Linked DNA regions of Drosophila melanogaster. The protein of the gene in region 3 interacts with the protein of the main gene of each other region in a pairwise test. Each region holds a gene or a part of one and is shown on either strand. Other genes may lie near its edges.

Evidence for each region.
Region 1: the proteins of Droj2 (region 3) and D19A interact in a two-hybrid assay, tested with the Drosophila melanogaster proteins (one large-scale study listed by BioGRID).
Region 2: the proteins of Droj2 (region 3) and CG13405 interact in a two-hybrid assay, tested with the Drosophila melanogaster proteins (one large-scale study listed by BioGRID).
Region 4: the proteins of Droj2 (region 3) and CG4701 interact in a two-hybrid assay, tested with the Drosophila melanogaster proteins (one large-scale study listed by BioGRID).

What each region holds. Positions count from the first base shown.
Region 1 is NT_037436.4:6,185,143-6,191,509, forward strand, and holds D19A (D19A), read right to left. Parts: upstream 3,982-6,367; 5' UTR 3,838-3,981; coding exon 2,892-3,837; intron 2,831-2,891; coding exon 1,239-2,830; 3' UTR 688-1,238; downstream 1-687. Other genes in the region: CG43293 (uncharacterized protein), read left to right, coding at 254-502, 562-624; CG7386 (uncharacterized protein), read left to right, coding at 4,672-5,982, 6,041-6,367.
Region 2 is NT_037436.4:72,924-77,030, reverse strand, and holds CG13405 (uncharacterized protein), read left to right. Parts: upstream 1-1,698; 5' UTR 1,699-1,820; coding exon 1,821-2,393; 3' UTR 2,394-2,577; intron 2,578-2,639; 3' UTR 2,640-3,086; downstream 3,087-4,107.
Region 3 is NT_033777.3:13,380,046-13,386,263, reverse strand, and holds Droj2 (DnaJ-like-2), read right to left. Parts: upstream 4,159-6,218; 5' UTR 4,120-4,158; exon of another isoform or gene 4,061-4,119; 5' UTR 4,006-4,060; intron 3,443-4,005; exon of another isoform or gene 3,152-3,442; intron 3,000-3,151; exon of another isoform or gene 2,801-2,999; 5' UTR 2,786-2,800; coding exon 1,685-2,785; intron 1,595-1,684; coding exon 1,484-1,594; 3' UTR 981-1,483; downstream 1-980. Other genes in the region: CG9799 (uncharacterized protein), read left to right, coding at 1-554; mRpS21 (mitochondrial ribosomal protein S21), read left to right, coding at 4,555-4,701, 4,761-4,877; CG8870 (uncharacterized protein), read right to left, coding at 4,921-5,368, 5,446-5,995, 6,052-6,124.
Region 4 is NT_033779.5:14,764,198-14,768,187, forward strand, and holds CG4701 (uncharacterized protein), read left to right. Parts: upstream 1-1,710; 5' UTR 1,711-1,809; coding exon 1,810-2,964; 3' UTR 2,965-3,028; downstream 3,029-3,990.

The DNA.
Region 1 (6,367 bases), on a different chromosome or scaffold from region 3:
AGTGAGACTGCCGGACAGCTACGAGCACAATACTAGCACTAGATCAATACAATACAAAGAGTCTGAGAATTTAAAATAAAAAATACATATGTCTTAGTTTAAATATTAAATACATTTTTAAACAAATATAAATTTTTTAAGGATTTTCAAAATACCTTAAATCGTTGGTATGTCTATAAATATGGTTGTATCAATTGTTTCTATAGCAGCTTTATTATTATTTGTCATGCTGAGTAAGAGTATACAAAAAAAAATGGAGCAACAACCAGACAAGGATTCCGTAAAAGCTCTCGAAGCTGAAGTTAAGGTATTGGACACTGAACTGGCACTGCAACATGCCGGGAATAGAAGAAATAGGCTTAAACTGGAGATCGCAGAGTTGGAGGAGGTCCTGGAGAAGCAGAGTATAGCATTGAAGAAGGCCAACAAAAACAGGAAGGCAGCTAAGATAATTATCTCAAGTTTGATGGATTTGAATCAGACGGATGGTAATAACTGGACAGTTAAGTCATCAACTAAGTTTTAAAGATGTATTACATAAGATTAACCAATTTGTTTTAGGAGTCAAATAATCCTTCAGACAATGAAGGGTCATCCGAAGATTTCGACGTGGATGCAGAATAGAAACTTTTCCAGTAAAATCCCCCTTTCACATCATTTCGTTCAGCAAAATGTTTCTTAATATTCGATTAAAAATCAATTATCATCTTTATTTGTCTAAATTTAAAGAACGGAATATATGAAATAAAATTCAGCATAACCATCCAGATGGATTTCAGCTAAAAATGACTTATTTTAATTAAATTAAGGTTTGATTAATGTTCTTGCGGGCTAAAAAATTTGTTTTTTGTTATTAAAATATATTTGTAAAAATCACTGGTATTGCAAAGTGGTCTCTTAGTCCCGCCCACCAGATGGAAACTCCAATGGCGTTATGAATATTACTTTTAATCCATTACTCTAAGTAAGCACGGGAGATATTACACGGAAAACAAAATAATACATATATTGCATGTATGTATAAACGTAGTACGTAAAAAGTATGAAGTGTTCATATTGTAATATGCACTCGAATAATCTGGAGTGCCTATAAACCTACAATCTGATCCAGCTAGAGAGCAATTCGAGGCATGCCTACAACTTTTCCGGACAGTGTCAGCTGCATTGGAAGTGGATACATATGGATGTGGCTAGGTTATGATGCATATATGCTAGTAAAGTAAAGCCAATCCTGCTGCCTAGACGTGGTCGATCTTCAGGGCATCCAGGCTGGTGCCCTCGGATTGCGCTTTCTGCGCATAGTAGCCATCGTACGAGGTGGTCGCCTTGATGATCTCCTGCTGCTGCTGCAGCTTCGTCAGCTGCTCGCAGGCCGCCGCCGCGATCTTCTGCCGCTCAATTTCCGCCTTCCGCTTGGCCTCGTTCTCCTCCAGCTGGTGCGCCAGCAGCTCAGCGGTGGCCGCTGCCCGCTCCACCGCCGGATCCTGATACTGGTCAAAGTTACGCGGCTCGGCGTCTGGCTCCAGCTTGCGGAACGTGATCTGAGTGGGCGCACTGCGCTCGGGCACGTGTCTCCGGTTCGGCTTCTCGTGCGTCTTGATGTGTTTCTTGAGTGCCGTCTCCTGGCGGAAGTGTTTGCCACAAATCTTGCACTCGAAGGGCTTCTCGCCCGTGTGGATCCATTCGTGATGCCGCAGAATCTGTGCCTTGGAGAATCTCTTCGGGCAGAAGCGACAGGCAAAGTCCTTGACCTTCTCGTGGATGATTTTGTAGTGAAGTTTCATGTTTCCAATATTATTGAAGCCACGCCCACAGCCTGGACAGATGTGCTGGCCTTCCTTCTTGGTGAAGTTCACTTGCGGCGACCACGAGGGCACGGATACGGATGGTATTGGATTTACCGCAGTACCCGCCAGCTGAGAAATGTCCACCCGCTGGACGCGTCGCGAGTTCTTCGGTTTGGGAGGCACTGCAGCGGTCCCGCCGCCGCATGCCTTCAGCATGTCCTCACTAGGCATCTGGTTGGGGTCCATTGGCACCAAACCATCCGTCTGCATCTGCATCGGCATCTGGCCCGGCATCGGTACGGACATTTGGCCGGGCATGGGAATGTTAAGCTGCTGGCGAAGGGGCTCCGCCGGCGGCAGATCCCTTTTCTCGTGCGTCTTCAAATGCTTGGTGAGGCTCTTCTCGCAGAGGAATATCTTGCCGCAGATCTTGCACTCGCAGCACTTCTCCCCCGTGTGACTCCTCTCGTGCACCTTGCAGGCGTGCGACTTGCCGAAGGTCTTTCCGCAGTACTGGCAGGCAAAGTCCTTGCGCTTTTCGTGCACCACCTTTACATGATTGGACAACGCCTGTTTGTTGTGCGAGGCATGGTCGCACTGTCGGCACTTGAACTTTTTCTCCTTGGTGTGCGTGAGGATGTGGGCGTTCCATTCCTGGCGCGTCGTCTTGCCCACCCCGCAGTACGGACACACATGGTTCTTGATGCCTGCGTGACGCATAAGGTGATCCCTTAAAGCACTATTGATTACAAAACGCTTGCCGCAGATATTGCAAGGATACGGAAGCTCCTCGCCCGTGTGCTTATACATGTGCTTCTTGAGTGCTGTGGGGCAGCGGAATACGGTGTCGCATTCTGTGCAGGGGAAATCTCGAAGCGGGGCAGCCGCCTTGGTGATACCGTGCACCTTCTTCATGTGGAAGGTGAGCAGACGGACGCGCGGGAAGGTCTTGCCGCAGCCCTCGGCGATGCAGGCGTGAACCTCGGACAGCTCTGTGTGGGCGTGGTCGATGTGAATGCGCAGCCCATTGGCGGTAGTGAAACCTGTAAGGTGGGATTTCATAGAGATCGGATACTTATATTTATACTTAAGCCAGCGTTATACCTTTCTTGCAGGTCTCCACCTTGCATTGGAAGGGCAGCAGGTCGTTGTGGTACTTCATGTGCTCCTCGTAGCGGATGGCCTTCTTGAACTTCTGGTGGCAAATGTGGCAGTCGATGATGCGGTGCAGGTGGCGTTCCTCGATGGGAATGCGCTTCCTCTTCGGCTTGTCGCCCCGCGATGTGCCGTCTTCGGAGTCATCTGATTCGGAGGATGAGTCGCTCAACTCCTCCTCCTCTGGCGGAGGCGGTTTTATCTTTTTGGGCCGTCCCCGGGGCCTCGGCTTGGGTTTGTCTAGGTTGCTAAAACGGTCCTGCTGGGGTCCTGATCCGGTAGCTGGTCCCCTCATGCGCTGGGCCAGCGGAATGTCATCATCGCTGCTATTTGGCTCGAAGTCCAGATCGTGGTCGTTGTCATTGCCGCTCTCGATGGACGAATCGTCGTCGAACATCTTGACGGAAACGTTGCCCCCGTCATCCTCCTCCACCTTGGCCTCCTTCTCCACCTCCTCGGCCTCCTTGTCGACGTGCTCCAGCATCTTGAAGACATCCTCCTCGTTCTCGATTAGCTCCATCTTGTGGTTCAGCAGCGGGTCATAGTTGACGTGGTCCTCTTCCTCGGCCGGGTAGTCCTGCACGGCAACGTTGGGATCGAAGACGTCGAAGCTGCTCTGGCAGGCAAAGACATTGCTGGCCACCAGATCCTGGAACTTTTGCACGGAATCGACGCACTGTTTCTGAAAGTCGTGCAGCTCGTTCAGCTTGGTGTAGCACAGGGTGCACAGGTTCTTCGGGAATCCGTCGTTTTGCTCCACGGACAGGGATGTGCAGAAGCATAGCTTCTTCGAAAGTCCTGGAACCAGATACAAATCGTAGGCGGCGTCGTTCTGCAGGTGGTTCAGACAGATCCTGCACAGGCTGTGGATCGAGTACTGCCTGCCCTCGTTCATCTTGCTTTCAATCGCAATCGGCACTGCGGATCGGGGCGGTTTTCTATAGCTTTTTGCGTCTCTCTCCGGTCAGTAAGCAATAAAATAATATTGACACAGAAAAAATTGTATACTCGTCGACTGGCAATCGGGCGAGTGGGCAATAAGCAAGTACTTCTGCCAGCGAGTTACTCGTCCGAGTGCGTAGTTGTTTTGCGTTTCAGGGCTGGACAATCAATGTTTTTTCTTACCTTCTTATTTGCAATTCTAATTAGGTTGCAATATACAAAAAAAAAAAATATATATATATACAACTAATTTAATTAAATAGATATTGCTTGTATACTTCAAATAGTATTTCAGGGTTTTTTAAAAATATTTTGCAAACTGAGCACCATAGTAACAAAAACGAAACTGAACTTACAATATATAGATAATGGTATGTATATATAGAAAAAATATAAAACAAATTTTTTTGTATTAGTATGTATATATAAACATGTAAAACAAATTGCTTTTAATAATAAGCAACGACATTTGAAAATATACAAACTGGGCATCAAGAAAATTTGATACGAAAATGAACGTACAAGATTTCTGTATCGAAATAAAGTCAAAAATAAATAATAAATAAATGTATTTTAACTAGACGCATGCATGGTCTTGCTAAAAAGCACTTACATTAAAACAAGTTAATATAAAAATAAGAATCCAAGTATGCTGTTTACTTGCCACCCCACTACACCGTAATGGGTTAATGGCATAGCGAAACGGTCAGACTGCCTGTCACACTGGAACAAATTTGTTTAGAAGCTTCGATTGTTATCTGCCCGAGAATTGAGGGAAATGGGCACTATGGAGCTCAAGTACTCCGTCCAATCGCTTTGTCTCACCTGCCTTGTCCACCTGAAGCATGGTGCTGGACACGATCTCTTCGTGGTTCCAGATCTGTTCCAGAAGCTCAGGGCGTGCACTTCGTTTGATGCGGATCAAAACGACGGTTTCCCGAGAAACCTGTGCACCCAATGTTTCACCAAGCTGAACGACCTGCATGACTTCCGCGAACTGTGCGCAGAATCTATTAAACGTCTAAAGGAAATGATGACCAGCCAGAGGAATATGCCCATGGGTGTATTCGAATCTATAGCTGATGATTCTGAGGCACCTGAAAGGCCAGAGGAGCCGGCCAGTTTCGATCCGCTGCTGAATAACAAACTAGAGATGATTGACAACGAGGAGGATGTGTTCAAGTTGCTGGAAAAAGTTGACAAGGAACTAGAGGAGCATTCAAGGGACCAAAGCGAGGAGCACTTCTCCAGTGCAGAGCACAACGGACTGGAGGAGGAGAAAAAGGAGTCGGAAGGGTTCAACAGCGACGATGAGCAGGCCATGGGGCAGCGACGGATTGCGAACGACAAGCGTAAACTGTTTCGCCTTATGAGCTGTTCCATCTGCCAGCAAAAGTTCAAAAAGCAATCAAAGTTCGAGGAGCACATGAAGCACCACAATGACCTGTTGCCGTTTCAGTGTCAGGAGGAAAGCTGCCGAAAGGGCTTCACCACAGCCGGTGCACTGCGTTTGCACGTGGACTATGCGCACTCCAAGAAGGAGGATACGGTTCCCTGCACCGTGGAGGGCTGTCAATTGGTTTTTTCCCGTCTCCGGCTGCTGACCATTCACTTGAAAAAGGTTCACAACCAGGCGAGGGTTATTGCTCCGCGGGGTGAACAGTCTTGCAAGGAATGCGGCGTGGTGTTTCGTTGCCCGGTGGCTATGAAGAAGCACATGTACACGCACACGGGCGAAGAGCTTCCCTATCCGTGTACCATTTGCGGCAAGGGCTTTTACATCAATAGTGCCCTAAAGAATCATCTTCTCCGGCATGCTGGCATCAAGAACTACGTGTGTCAGTACTGCGGAGTGCGAAAGACCACCCGCCAGGAATGGAGTAAGCACATTCTGATCCACACCCAACGGAACCAGTTTAAGTGCCGCATCTGCGACTATGCCACCCACACGAAGCGGGTGCTAGAGAGCCATGTTAAGATCGTACATGAGAAAATCCGGAATTTTGCTTGCCAGTACTGTGGAAAGACGTTCGGGAAAGCATACGCCTGCAAAATACACGAGATGGCGCACACTGGTGAGAAGCGCTGCGAATGCAAGGTAAGGGAATTACCATTATACCCTTGTTACCAAAGTCTGATATATTTTCGCCTTGCAGGTTTGTGACAAAAAGTTCCTGCATTCGGAGAGTCTCAACAATCATCTGAAGATTCATGAGAAGAGCGTGGAAAGGGCTCTGGAAACTTATAAACAGGTGCAAGTAAATGGCGATGCCAGTGACACTCAAGTGGACTCACATCAGCTGCTGAAGGTTTACGCCGAATCCGTAGCCAGCATTCCTAAGAATCCCCGCCGCGTAGAGCAAGTTGATGTGGCCCTATTGGCAGGGACCGCAGTGAATCCCACAGACGAGATTCAGTTTGTGCAAAAGGAGGGTATGTACTTGTGTCCCAGCTGCAGTCAGGGATTCAAGAGCATAGGCAAC
Region 2 (4,107 bases), on a different chromosome or scaffold from region 3:
CTTTTAAATTATGCTCTGTGAATGGGAATGATTAAAATAATAACAAAAAAGGAAATCAAGCGACGAAATAATATACTGAGTTGACAATACGTTTAAGAGGCCATTTTAAAATAAAAGTTTACCAGGACAGAGAGAGTAGAGTGCCTCGACTACAAGATACCTCTCACTCAGGTGATAATCGGGGTGGCAACTCACTGAAACAAACTGCGACAGCATACGCTGCGGAAGGAAAATGCACAATAAATGGAAATAGAAAAGTTTAATTGAAACTCATTCAAAAAAAAAAAAAAAACAATCAAAGCATGCTAAGGATCTCTATATCTGAAACAGATGCTCTCTACAAAATAGTTGCAGTGAAAAATGGCAAGAGAGTGGGCAAAGAAAAGCGCAGAAGGAGAAAGGCTTCATGATGAAGGATGCTTGTTGTTTGCTGCAGTTAAATTAAATGAAAAAGTTTAAAACTTTTTTAATGAAACCATTTTATTCAGTAGAGGCATAAACAAAAAAACAGTCCCCATTCCGTTGTAACAATAGCACAAAAAAGATGCAAGACAAAGGAAAACAAAAGTCTGAGCGGAAGAAAAACTTGATGCAACTTGCATGGTCTGAAAGGAATCAAAAAAAAAAAAAAAAAAAAAAGAATAAAATGTCCCAATAAAAATCAAAATATGTATGAGACTTAAAGGGGGTGGCCTATGCTTGCTTTCAACTTTGTAAATTAAATTGCCCGTTATTTGATTTAAAATGGGCGGCGCAGTCTTTTTGAGCTTAAGTGACGTATGCGTAATCTGAATGGGGAGCTAATCGAAAAGCCACCTTGATACGGACGATAAAACCCATAGGCTCTGGCTATGGGTGTTCGCTTCTAATGCAACTGTCGCTTTCAGGGACTCGCAAGCAATTGGTAATTACGCCAAAAATTAAACAGGGACGTAATCAAGAAAACATCAAGGATAAAAGCTTAAGCTTGGACCAAACAAGGTGCTTATTATTTAATTAAGTAAATTCAAATAAATTAAATTAAATAAATAAATAAATTTAAATTTGTATATCCCTATATCGACATATTCAATTTCTTTGCTAAACATTGTTCTCTACATTTTTGTCTTTCATTGCACACAACTTTGCAGGTACATTTTGCGTACATATTGTGCATTCCTATTATGCCATTCAATGCACCAGTTTGATATTAAAACAGCAACTTGTGTCGCTGGGCCAGTTATCAAATACATACCCTTTCTTTCCTGGCTTACAGGTTGTAATCTGTTAGAATTCACGTCTTAACTACCGGTAGTACGATGAAACGACCCTGCTGCGAGATAAACATTATGCCAAATTAAAATGCATTCTGTAGTTTCTATAATTAATGCGAACGCATGCCGTCGAGTGGTGCGCTTTGAAACGTAATCCACCGGATCCAGCCACAAGAAATCACTGAGTCAATAAAAGCGTGAAATAAGAGAGATGAGATTGTAGAAGGAATGAAGTTAACGGCGCAACAGCTATCATGATGGCAGAAGAACAATAAATCGTATATGAAAAGATCTAATAACGAGGGAAACGGAAACGGAAGTTATTGAAGTGCTAAAAAAAATGGCGAACTGAAATAATAAAAGTAGTTGTTGTGTGCAGTAAACTGAGATTTTACTGGCTCTAAGGTGTGGAGTTTTATGTTTACGTTTGTCGATCACATGATAAATCTACTACAACAATTTGTATTTGATTTATATATCAAAATTTGGTTTATTAAAGTATTTCATAATTATGTAAACTAATACCCCTGCATCGCTTAATACAATTTATCCCTAACATCCGAAGCAATGTCTGATGTGGAGCAAGAAGCCTCTGGAGACGTTGATAATGAGCAAAATGAAGGACAAGAAGCTGCTGAAGATTTTGAGGGAGAGGGCGAAGGAGACGAACAGGACGTTGAAGAGGAAGATAAGTTCGAGGTGGAGGAGAAGGATCCCTTTGAGCTCCTCAATGAGAGCGATGAAGACGATGAAGAGCAACAGGCAATGTACAAGGAGTATCAGGAGGTGGTCAACGCTATTGATGCGCAGAACAGGATTATAAAAGAGCTCAAGGCAAAGTCCAATCGACTGATGTTCAAGAAGTGCAAGACTTATAGAGACAAGCAGGAATACAAACAACTTAGGGTCTGTCAGGAGCATGAGGAGATCCATTTAAAGGTTCTCGTGAATAGAGCCATGCACCTCCAAAACTTCGGTTCACCTAGGCGCTACAGAGATATAGAAATGGAAGTCACAGAGGACGAGAAGAGCTACTTTTATACTGAACTACAATCGACCTTATCAGGCTTTTGTCCCACGGATTCGGCTGACGAATATGAGTCGGATTCTGAATCGGATAATGGACTATGTTGTACCTAGTTTCCTAGCGGAGTTTCCGAAAATTGACGGGGAAAAGTTATGAAAATACTTGAATAATTGTGGAATATCTTCATATTTTACATATATACATATCTACACATATCAACGACACTGCACTCAATAAAATGGGAAAGGATGGAGGGAATGTGAATAAAAAATGCAAGAAAATTTCAATAAAATGCAAGTAAATGCAAAATTTAATTTAATCCCTCGATTTCTAAAATATCTGCCTAGCACTTCTTTTAGCTGGGTTTAATAGTCAAGAGTCCAGACGTGGAGTAGCCAAATAGCGGGAAAGTGTAGAGCAATAGCAATAAGCGCAAAAACAAGACGATTGTGCCCCCAGACAGAATAAGGGGATCAAAGCAAAACAGCCATAAACAAATAACCGAAGAGGCACAGAAAGACGCCAGTAGACGAGAATGAATCGAAACGAACTGAATTGAACCAAAACTTCTCTCGATGATTTCTTCGTTCCCTCCTCCTTCTTTTATTATGCCTCAATTCTCACTCTCCGCCAAGTGCCACGCCCATTGTGGCGCTTGATGGGGAACACTTCGCAAAAACGAGATAGTTTGACGTTTTCTACACAACTGGTCACTGTTTAAATTTTATTTACATTTAGAAAGATTTGGAGAAAAGTGAAATGTAAATTATTTCGATTAAAAGATAATTTATGTGGACTTGCAACTTAGAAATTTATGGTTTAACCCTAAGGTGGAAAATTCAAAAGCGCGATTTTAGAAGGGGAATGTTGTCGGCGCCAAATTCGCCAACCCAATGTGCAGAAGCAGCGGCTTCGACCGCGTTGCGACGTCACCTTGCGTCCATTCACCCCGTTCATCATTGTTTATGAGTGTGTGCCCAGACACAAAAACAAGCACACATTAACGTATACAGCAAAATTCCTTTAACTGTGCTTCGATTCCATTCCATTTTCCATCTGGTTCTGTTTCTGTTTTTTGGACCTCTGCCTTGGGTCTTCTGTTCATGTCTCTTCGCCCCCCCCCCCCCCCCCCACCCAATTCTCCAACCCTACTGCGTTCTCCCGCTTGTTGTTATTGCACTGTCTGCGGCTTGGGTATTTTTTACGCGCCTGTGCTCCATTCCACGTTCCCAGTCTCCCCGTCTCGTTCCAACAACCTTGGTATATATCTTCGCCGCCCAAAAAAAGTGTGCGAAAAATACTCTAGGAAGATTCAGAATCGCGGAGTCGGATCTAGGAGAGTCGTAATTATTCATGTTTTTTTTTTTAGATACATGTATGTATGTATGTATGTATAACGTGTATGTATGTATGTATAACGTTGGCGAGCAAGTGAAACGGAAACACAATAAGAAGAAGAAAAAAGAATCAAGGTGTCATGCCCCTCCAGAACAAGCTTCAGTGGAAGGGCGAGCAGATGGAAAAAGAATTGCGTCTCGTGTTCATTTTTTTTTTTGTGTGGATATAGACTTTCGCTGGTGGGTCACAAACACAACCACTTATGAACCCTTTAAACCGATAAGTGTCACTCACATTTTCACTAGAAACGTAAATTCCGTATCGTTCTATTTTAGAGCTGGTATGTTTCGGTTCCAACAAATAATTTTCTAAATTAATTTCGCATAAAAAGTGCCAACCAATGCCAGCAACACACACAGGCGCCATAGTATGTAGGCGGTGGAGAGGTTCACAAATGTCACATTCTTAATCGCAACAGCAACAGCACTG
Region 3 (6,218 bases):
TGGAGCTAATCAAGCAACGTAACAAGCCCAAGGCACCACCAAAAGCTCCCAAACAGGCCCCATTCTTCCTGCCCACGGTTTCGGGACTGGAACTGCGCTTCGATGTGGAGAACGGTCAGAAGGAGGAGGATGAATCCCGGATTCGGAAGGCTTCTACTCTCAACAATCTTACTGCCTTTGGCCAGCTGCTGGAGGAAACTGCTGACTCCCTGGACTTCGCATCGGCTGTGGCGCACTTGACCCAACTAGGACCATCGATGGTTGACTTTGAGATCAAATCTCTGCACCCGGAGGCTGGAGGAACACTCCTTGCCATGCTGCAGTTCCTCAAACTCGTTAAGTTCATGTTTGGAACCAATCTGAACTTTGAGCTGGCTCAATCGTATCTAAGCGTCTTCTTGCGATCCCACGGTCTCGGGTTGACGGAGTTCCCGGATTTGGTAAAGGAGCTGCGCACTGTGTCCCAGGTGCAGCAGGAGGCTTGGCAGCGTGTGGAGGAGAAGCTCATCTATGGAACTGGAGTTGTGGCCGCTCTCCGAAACTTTGCGCACTAGTTTCCACCAGATTATGTTGTAGTTCATTTTGAAATTTTGTAAATAAATTTACAAAACATTTTACATTTTGAATTTGCTTTTGATGTTATTCCTTGCGACAGGCAGGTCCGCAGATTCATTTATAGGATGCTTTATAATCCTCAACAACTACAAAATCCCTCATTATATCCTTAACGATTTAATGGCATTACCATATATATCCCAAACTATCCTTATCTTTCTTTTTATCTTTTACTTATCCCAGATAGCATTTTAAATAATGTACTCAAGACGAAACTACTGCCATATGCCTGATATCTCCAATTGGCATTATTCGAATGATTCACACCTGCGGGTGACTATGCAGCGATTATGGAATCAATAGATAGCCGGAGGAAGGCAAGTGATACTGGAACTATGGGAAGAAGAATATACAGCATTTGGGTTGAAATTGTGTATTAATTATTTATTTGTTATATCCGTTTAAACTAACGCTTTTATTTATGCTGGAATTAAATAACTTAAACTTGTTCCTAGACGTGTTCGCTGGCGCGGACTTTAGATACGGTTCTAGTGGCGGCTAATTTCAATTTCAGTTTAGTTTAGTTTCAGTTTCCGTTTTCGATTCTTTGACAATCCAACGCAACATAAACATAAAGAAAAATGTTGGTTTACAAACAACCACGCGTTATAGACATAGTGCATATATCTGATAAGTTTCTTTGATTTATACCTAAATATCGTAGCTTGCATGAAATAACTTTAGATCTCTCGATTGGTTGGGCCTCCTAGTGTGAATTGGATGGTGTTTTAAGGTGCTTTTGGGAGTTCTTCGGCACTTGCAAGCGCAATTACAGTGTTCCGGGAGCTGGTTTACATATTATTACGGCTTGTTGGTTGGGGTATTATTAGGGCTGTGTGTCCGGGGATGCAACACGCAGCGGGGGCGCTTAACTCGATGTGCACTGCTGGACGCGTGGGCCATCCTGATAGCCGCCATCGTCCTCATCGTAGGCCATGCGCTGGTGTTGCTGGCGACGTTGCTTGGGATCAAAGTCCTCCTGCGAAAGATAAGCAAATCGATAAATAAATTAATTATAAATAATATATTATTTATATATCGTGATATAAACTACTACTGAAATACTCACCAAAACCGTCTGCTCTGCATCGATTGGAATGTCAACCTCCGGCGCCGGGGGTAGGCACTGTTTAAGCGTGGGCACCACCGACGGATTGATCACCTCCGGGAAGATCACCTCGAACTGGATGATCAACGTGCCCTTCTCCATGGGGTTCTTGAAAATGGGCATACCCTCCTCGGCAATACACTTGGTCATCTCATGCCTGATAACCTCGCCGGGCTGTGTGGACACAATCAGATCGCGATCATCGAGCGTTTTAACGATTCGCTGGAATCCGCAGAGCGCTTCGACAAGTTGCAACGGCATCTTCATCATTAAATCCTGTCCGGCGTGCGCGAATGTGGAGTGCTCCTTCTCGTCCAAAAGAATAATAATATCGCCCGGCTGAGATTCCGGCTCATGATCGCCCTCTCCCGTGAACACGATCTTCTGGCCATCCCGCATTCCCTTCTCAATGTGCACTTCCAATACCTTGCGTTCCCGCACCGTTTTGCGGCCACTGCAGTTCTTGCAGCGGTCCTTCTCCTGAATGGTCTCGCCAGTTCCCGAACACTTGCGGCACACCTGCTCGATGTGCTGCATGATGCCGGGGGCGATCTGCTGAACCCGTGTCTCCACACCGTTACCACGGCACTGCAAGCACTTCTCAATGCTGCCCTTCTTGCCGCCGCGACCCTCGCACTTGTCGCAGATCACATTCTTCTGGAGCTGCAGCTTGCGGGTCGCTCCATTGTACAGCTCCTCCAGCTGTACGGACATCTGGTGCACCACGTCCTTGCCACGCCTCTCGCGCCTGCGTCCACCGCCACTACCTCCGAATCCAGCGCCAAAGAACTTCTCAAAGAAGTCCATAGGATTGCGGAAGTCACCGGAATCTGCGCCGCCCTTCTTGATGGCCGCCTCGCCGCCTTCGTCGTACACCTGTCGCTTGTCCGCATCGGACAGCACTTCGTAAGCCTGCGAAATGGCCTTGAATTTCTCGCCCTCGTTGGGGTTCTTGTCCGGATGGTACTTGAGGGCCAGCTTGCGGTAAGCCTTCTTCAGCTCGTCGGGCGTGGCATTAGGCTTCACGCCAAGTATATCATAATATCCAGTCTCCTTAACCATTTTGTTTGCTGTTTACTGTGAACAGACGAAGTAGTGCGTAATTACTATCTGGGAGCTTGTAAATAACAGATTGGGGAACAGATTTGTGTATGCTCCAGGCATATATAGGTAGAAATTATGAAGTTGTGTAATACCGAAAATTTTTGAAGTTTCAACCGATTTGGATGCCAGTTCTTATAAAAAATGAAAAAAAAAAATTTATTTTGTGGTGCTGTTTCTATGGCAGCTAGGTTCCCGATGGAAGTTATTGTCAGTTTTATATCTAATGACATTTCATAGTTCAAAGGGCTGATTCCTCTCTAACTAGTATTGTAAACAAAAATCAGTAACCTATATTTTGTTACCCATTTTTTTTTGTAGAAATACATTTTTCAAAATCCAGAAACCACTCGATCATATGACCCTTTCTTGTTTATTGATTTCTACAGCTGTGACTTGATGCCATCACCCATTTTTTTCCGTGTAATTTGGGGGGCAACGGAAAATAGTAGGCATTGCCGGAAGCTAGAGCCCGGGATTCAAGGTCGTTACGCCGCCATGTGTTCGCGAAAATAACTGCGACGTTTTCTAGTCGATTTTCTAGAACAATTGTCGTATTTCAATACGGCGAGCAGCTGACGCTCTCTTTCCCCCTTTCGACAACAACCGCTTCTCTTTCGCACGCACACATACACACAGTTTCTAGAAGTTTTCGTCAGCGCATTGCAGCCCTGGTTTTGCGAACGGCGACTGCAAAGCGGAGAGGGTAATAATGAAAAAACCGTAAAAGAACGAAAAGGGGAACAAATGAAAGGAGAAAGGGCAGAGTCGAAAATAAGAATGGAAATGAATTCTAGAAGCAGCCTTCGATTTAGCAGGCAAATCAATAGATACAATTATTATATTTTCACCAGTGCCTAGCACACACATGCACCAGACTTTGCGCTTGTATGCGTACCAACATGTGCCGCGCAAGACGCTGCGTCAGAAGAATTCGATTGAACAAAGAAGAGAAAAAAAGCTAGATGGCCATCGATTTTGCAAATCTAATGCCAAAAATCGAAGGCAAATTCTCTGACAAAAAACAATTATCGATGATTACTTAACGACAGAGATGAGAAAACCAAGCGCAAAGGAAGTGTCTACCAAGTAGACACACACATTGGCAAACCGCACAATGCGAGACGAAATGTGCAAAATCAGGTGGTAATCTTAATTAGCCCAGAGCCGCCCCAGCTCACCTTTTTTCGTGTCGTGTCGTGCCTAAAGCAAATAGTAACTTTCGCAGCCCGATTCCTGGAAGTTTCACTTTTACAACAAATTTAATTTACGTCGAATACTTTTCAACAGCTTACTATGGCCGCCACGCTAGGAAGAAAACTGGAAACCAGTGTGACCAGAGCGGCAAACGGCAAGAAAAACCACAACATCAGGGTTGCCTCGCACCGCAAAGGTCCGAAAACTGGTATTTTAGTCATTTTCAGGTGATTAGCAATTTTTGATAATTTGATGGGATATAATATGTATTTCTTAAGTGTGATGGGCATTACAGAAATAATTTTGGCAATGCATTAATAAATACTGTGTTGAATAAATATTTTTCTTATTTATTAAGTTGAGTGGTTCTCAAAGTACTCCTTCTGAGTCCACGATTCTTATTAGCAATCGTTAGCCCTGGTTAGTGATATTCATCAGCTGTTTAGCAGTACAGTAAATGGTCACACTGTTTTGAAAGCCGATTATTTAATAAACATTTGGAAAACTTTATAAAATAAAACTACTTATCCGAAATGAGACACGTGCAGTTTCTGGCCCGCACCGTTCTGGTGCAAAACAATAATGTGGAGGAGGCGTGTCGTCTGTTAAATCGCGTCTTGGGAAAAGAAGAACTGCTCGACCAATTTCGCCGCACGCGATTCTACGAAAAGCCGTATCAGGTTCGACTTTAAATAACTTAACTATTTATTATTATTTACTGTATTAAACTATTGTATAGGTTCGTCGTCGCATCAACTTCGAGAAATGCAAGGCCATTTACAACGAGGACATGAACCGAAAAATTCAGTTCGTACTGCGCAAAAATCGCGCCGAACCTTTTCCTGGATGCAGTTAAACTAGTTTTTGAGGCAATAAAATGTAGGAATTAAATAAATTGCTTATTTTCTAGTACGAGATTTGCTGTCGCTGTCGATAAATGGACTTTGCAATTTCGATTTTATCCATTCAAAAAAGTATGAAGTTTTTGTGTAAAATGCTGGCTTGCAAGTTTTAAGTACGCAGGGCTTCTGTCCGTAGGAGATTATGCCGGCTGCATAAGTGAGTGTGACCTTTCCACGTATCACGGTCTCCATTAAGGGTCCCCCGGAATCGCCGGGACTGGTGTCATTCCCATCCAGACCACCAGCACATATCTGACTGCCCAAATTAAAGTCATAATTTGATTTGCACACATCTGGATGCCGTTCCGCGATGAAGCTGCGCAAGAGTACCTCACTTGCAATTCCTTGTCCCATGTCTGGCCAGCCGGATGCTTGAAACTTTCGCTTATGCGCGGCCAATTTTTGGGCTCTTGGAAGGCAAATAGGTTGGATGGCTCTCGTATAGCTATAGGAAGATATAAAGATATATTATTTCAATTCATATCCTACTTCTATTTCGACCAGAGGAGAATCATTACTCACCGCACAGGAAACTTAAGACGCACGAGTGCTATGTCGTTTATCAGCCGCCTTCCCCGGTTGAATTGTTCATGCGTAATAATTTGGTCCACTTCAATTTCCATATAAAGAGGAGCGTACTGTCTTCTTCCATTCACAATAGCCCGATCGGGATTTGTGGACGTGTTATGTTCGCCCAGTCTCACTGTTTTGAGGGCATACGGATAGTCCATAAATGGATACTCCACGCAGTGCGCTGCGGTCAGGACGTACCAGTTGTTTATTAGGGATCCACCACATTTTGGTACCAGCTTCTGGGACAAATTGTTTTTATTTCCATATAACAGCATGGCCATCCAGGGAAACTCATTCAGCGCCGGTATTTTGCCCTTCGTAGGTTTTCTTCTTGATTGTCCACAAGTATCGTGTGGCAGATACGTTTCCCACTTGGGGCAGCACACTTTATTAGTGCCGCATCTTCTAAGACCTATTATATTTTTCCTGGATGAGTTCATAACTGCTCTGGTCCTGGGACACTTATCCAGATTCACGCATTCCGTATCAAATTGACACCCTGAAGGAAGGATAGATTTTAAATTGCGTACAAAGTTTATGCATGCTGAAAGTTACCTGCACCATTTGAATAAGGCACAAGAATTATTTGCAGCATAAGCAAAAATGATCCTATAAGTCCGAACAACATGTTGATCCACGAATATTTCACATACAACTGTTCAAGACTGTTAGGACTGTCGAAGCTATTTATTCTTATTTTTAACATTGTTCTGAGTAGTTTT
Region 4 (3,990 bases), on a different chromosome or scaffold from region 3:
AAGCTCCAGCTTTTGCAACAATATAGGCACAGTAATAACAACAAAATATATAATTAAATTTTTCGTGTGCTCAGCAGAACGAACGAGCGGACTTGGAATCTGACAAAGAGGACAAAATAAGGGGAAAGGACTACGAATATAGTGGGTGGTATCCAGCGAAAGGTAGTGAGCGAGCAGGAGTTGGTGAAATCATGAAATATTGCATAGCTGAAGTGATTTTTATGAACTCTTCAAAAGTAGCTCAGTGAAAGGCGAATAGACAGTGGAAGAACTTGGGCTGTTTGTTCAACATAAAGGTTCCCGGCACGCTAACGAGCTTAAAGATGTTGCACAAAGTGCGCACTGAAATTGCATCCATAATGGCGCCCAACGGAGGCGGTATGATATAATGCTCAGTAAGGGCTCCCTTCGCCATTTTCCATTTCGGGATAAAGGCGATTTTCATCGAAAGCTGCGCCCAAGTCTGGAAAACTCTGTTAAGTGGGCAAAGGTCAAGAGCAGATCAGTTCAGTTAGGGCTCCACACAAATAAGCCAATTTTCTATTTAAGATAGATCTTACTCCGTAAGGTACTCTTTCAAATAGTAATTTAATTGGATTTGTTTAGAGAAATTTTTAAACGTGCCTTAATTCATTCAATTCAATTCATTTTATTTATCAATCTAACTAAAGTCAAATGGATTATGGAAAGGTTAAGTTTTACATGGAGTAAGCGCTCGTGGGATCCTCTTTGGTTTCCGTTAACTTACAACATTTTCTGGCTTAGATTGGATTTAATTTTTGATCGGTACAAACAGACGTGAAAATGTTGGATTAAAATGCTAACAAGACTTTTGCGAAATACCAATTTTTGGATGGCAGACAGAGACACCTGAGCCAGGAATATGAAAACTATTGGGCAAAAACGGTGGATAATAGGGCTCTGTTCGTAGTAGTGGAAACTTCGTCCAGACATTGTGTTGAGTAATTCTTTTGTAATGCGGAAGGAAGCCCAAAACAACACAGTGCACAGCGATTTCCGTGAAGAGGGAAAGGGCAGCGGAAATAACTTCAAGACAAAGCACAGAACTGACCTGCGTTCGGTGGGCTGGGAAAATTGGGTGGTAAAGGGGTTCGCAGATAAATTGCTGCAGTGTTTAGTTAATACTTCTGACCGTCTTATGGCCTGGCCTTTCGTCCTTGGCTGCTGCTTCCAATTCAGCAGGATACCGAACAGCGATGGATTCTCGCAGCTAGATACAAGGAACAAGGAACAGCAGCTGGCTCGACAAGTTTATCTTTTGTTACTGAGACAAATACTTTGTTGAGAGATACTAAACTAGAAAACATTCTCCTCCGCCTTCCATTCAGGCTTTTTCAGTTTTATTTGCCGGCATTTCTTGCAGGTTAGCGTCAAAATCCTGCAGGAGGAACAGAGGCCAGAACAGAGCCCGGAAAACTTAAACAGAAATTAAAACGAATCTGGACAATGCACAGTGGGTAAAAATGGCTTATTACTCCTTATTGTATGCAGTAAGTAACTTTGGTTTAATGTAATTTAGCAGAACTACTATTCATATTTCCACGTTAATCTTAACAAATCTTTAAAAAGCAACTTTTGTTTTTATTTTTTTTTTGTCTCTGGGAACTAAGAAAACTTTTTTAAGAATATTTTTCTACAACACTTGACAATCCTATATTATATTTCTAGTAAATCAGTGTTGTGCATCGCATAGCAGTAGGCAGTTAGTAATATACCGATGTGTAATTTTTAAGTGACATTTATTTATTATTCGATACTAGATTGTCGATACAAATTGGTGTGTGAAAAATGGACTCGCAGGAGGGTACTCAGTGCCAGATCCTGGCCATCGTCATTCGGGTGTGTGTGTTTAGCGCGTTAACGTACTACACTGCCAAATGGATGATCAATGCGCTGGATCCCAATAATAAGATCCGGGGTAAGGCGAAATATGTTGCGGAAGAGCAGCTGCGCAAGCTGAACTCCTCGGCGATTGGCGCGGCAAAGAAGTTTCGAGCCCGTGACTTTAATGAGCACGAGATGATGATTGCTTCGCATCTGGTGACGCCTGAGGACATTGATATCAGTTGGTCGGATATTGCCGGACTGGATGGGACTATTCAGGAGCTTAGGGAGACGGTGGTTCTCCCAGTGCGTCATCGTAAGCTCTTTAGCCGATCGAAACTGTGGCGAGCGCCCAAGGGAGTCCTGCTGCATGGACCGCCTGGTTGTGGCAAGACCCTGATCGCCAAGGCCATTGCCAAGGATGCTGGGATGCGATTCATCAATCTGGACGTGGGTGTGCTAACGGACAAGTGGTACGGCGAAAGCCAGAAGCTGGCCACAGCCGTTTTCACGCTGGCCAAAAAACTTCAGCCCTGCATCATCTTCATAGACGAAATTGAATCTTTTCTCAGGATGCGCGGTAGCAATGATCACGAGGCAACCGCCATGATTAAGACTCAGTTTATGTTGCAGTGGGATGGGTTAATGAGCAATACCAACATTTGTGTCCTCGTTTTGGGGGCCACAAACCGGCCGCAAGACCTCGATAAAGCCATCCTGCGCCGTATGCCCGCACAATTTCACATTGGAGTGCCGCGAGACTGCCAGCGACGCGAAATCCTTCAGTTGATCCTCCAGACAGAGCAACTGAGTCCTTCGGTTAATCTGAAGGAGCTGGCCCGACTGACGATTGGATTTTCAGGATCCGATTTGCGGGAATTGTGTCGCCACGCATCCATGTACCGTATGCGCCAGTTTATGCGCGAAAAGCTGAACACCGGCGAGGAAATTGGAAAAGACAAGATTGAATGGGACTTCGAGGTAAAGGATCAGGCCTTGCAGGAGTGGGAGCACTTGGAAATTCAAATGGAAGACCTTCTCAAGTCGCTGTCCGTCATGAAGGCGTCGAAACATCAGGCGCAGGGCACTTTTCTCGAAAAGGATCTGGAGTTGGACTGAGGGTGCCGTTTTGGGTATTGATGAGCATAAAATCGGCAATAAAAGCTTCGTTATGTGCTTCATCAATTTTGCAGTTTTCTCTTGTCTTATTTGGAAGATTTCTTTGTATAAGCCAAATTTTATATTAATTAATATTTTAAACTCTAAAGCATCAAGCCTCCTTTAAAAAAGTGTCCTTGTCTTCCTCCCACTTTCACTTACCGCTGGTCTCTCTCAGCGAATTGGTATGTTCAATAACAAATTCCATTGCACAGCCAAGCTCATTTTTTCTCAGTGCTTCGCCATTATCTTCCGGCTAGTTCTATTTTACGAGACTACGCTCTTTATACCTCACTTTGGCTCATCCTGCCCAGTTACCAACACCCCAAACTGTCAGCCCGACCTATATTTTTCACATTTCATGGCATGCATGAAGAGTTTTTGCAGCCATGAAGAGCGGCGAGTTATCTGAAAAAAGGTCTGCAACCAGGAACGGCTGCGAAAGAACAGCACCAGCACAGTGGCACAACAAAAACTCAAAATAACAACAGCTACGACAGCAACAACAAAAAATCTTTTATGTAAAATTGAATATTCATAAGTTGATTCACAGAAGCGGCAGAAGCCTAACTACGGACCTCAGCCTCCGCCTCGTTTGCTTCTGAATTACTCTTGCGAAGAGTGTTTTTAATTTTATCATGCATATGCAATTCAGTAGTAAAGAACTTAATTAATAAAGTCGGTATATGGAAAATGTTCTTTGAAAACGAAATAGGAGTGTTTACTTATATTTAACATTTTATTAGCCAGTCACTTCACTTGATTGCATTAAAAAATGAACTAAATACATGATTTGTTATATTTTAGTTAGTTTTTATATTTGTATTATTTATTCTCCAATTACCAAACAATAATAAATAATAAACTTAATAAATAAGCTTAAAGCTAACGACTTAAAGATCGAAAAAAAAAACTGTTTTTTTTTTTAAGTTCTTATTTGAGCAAAGGGTACTTTATATTCGTTATTTAGGACCATGCAATGAGGTC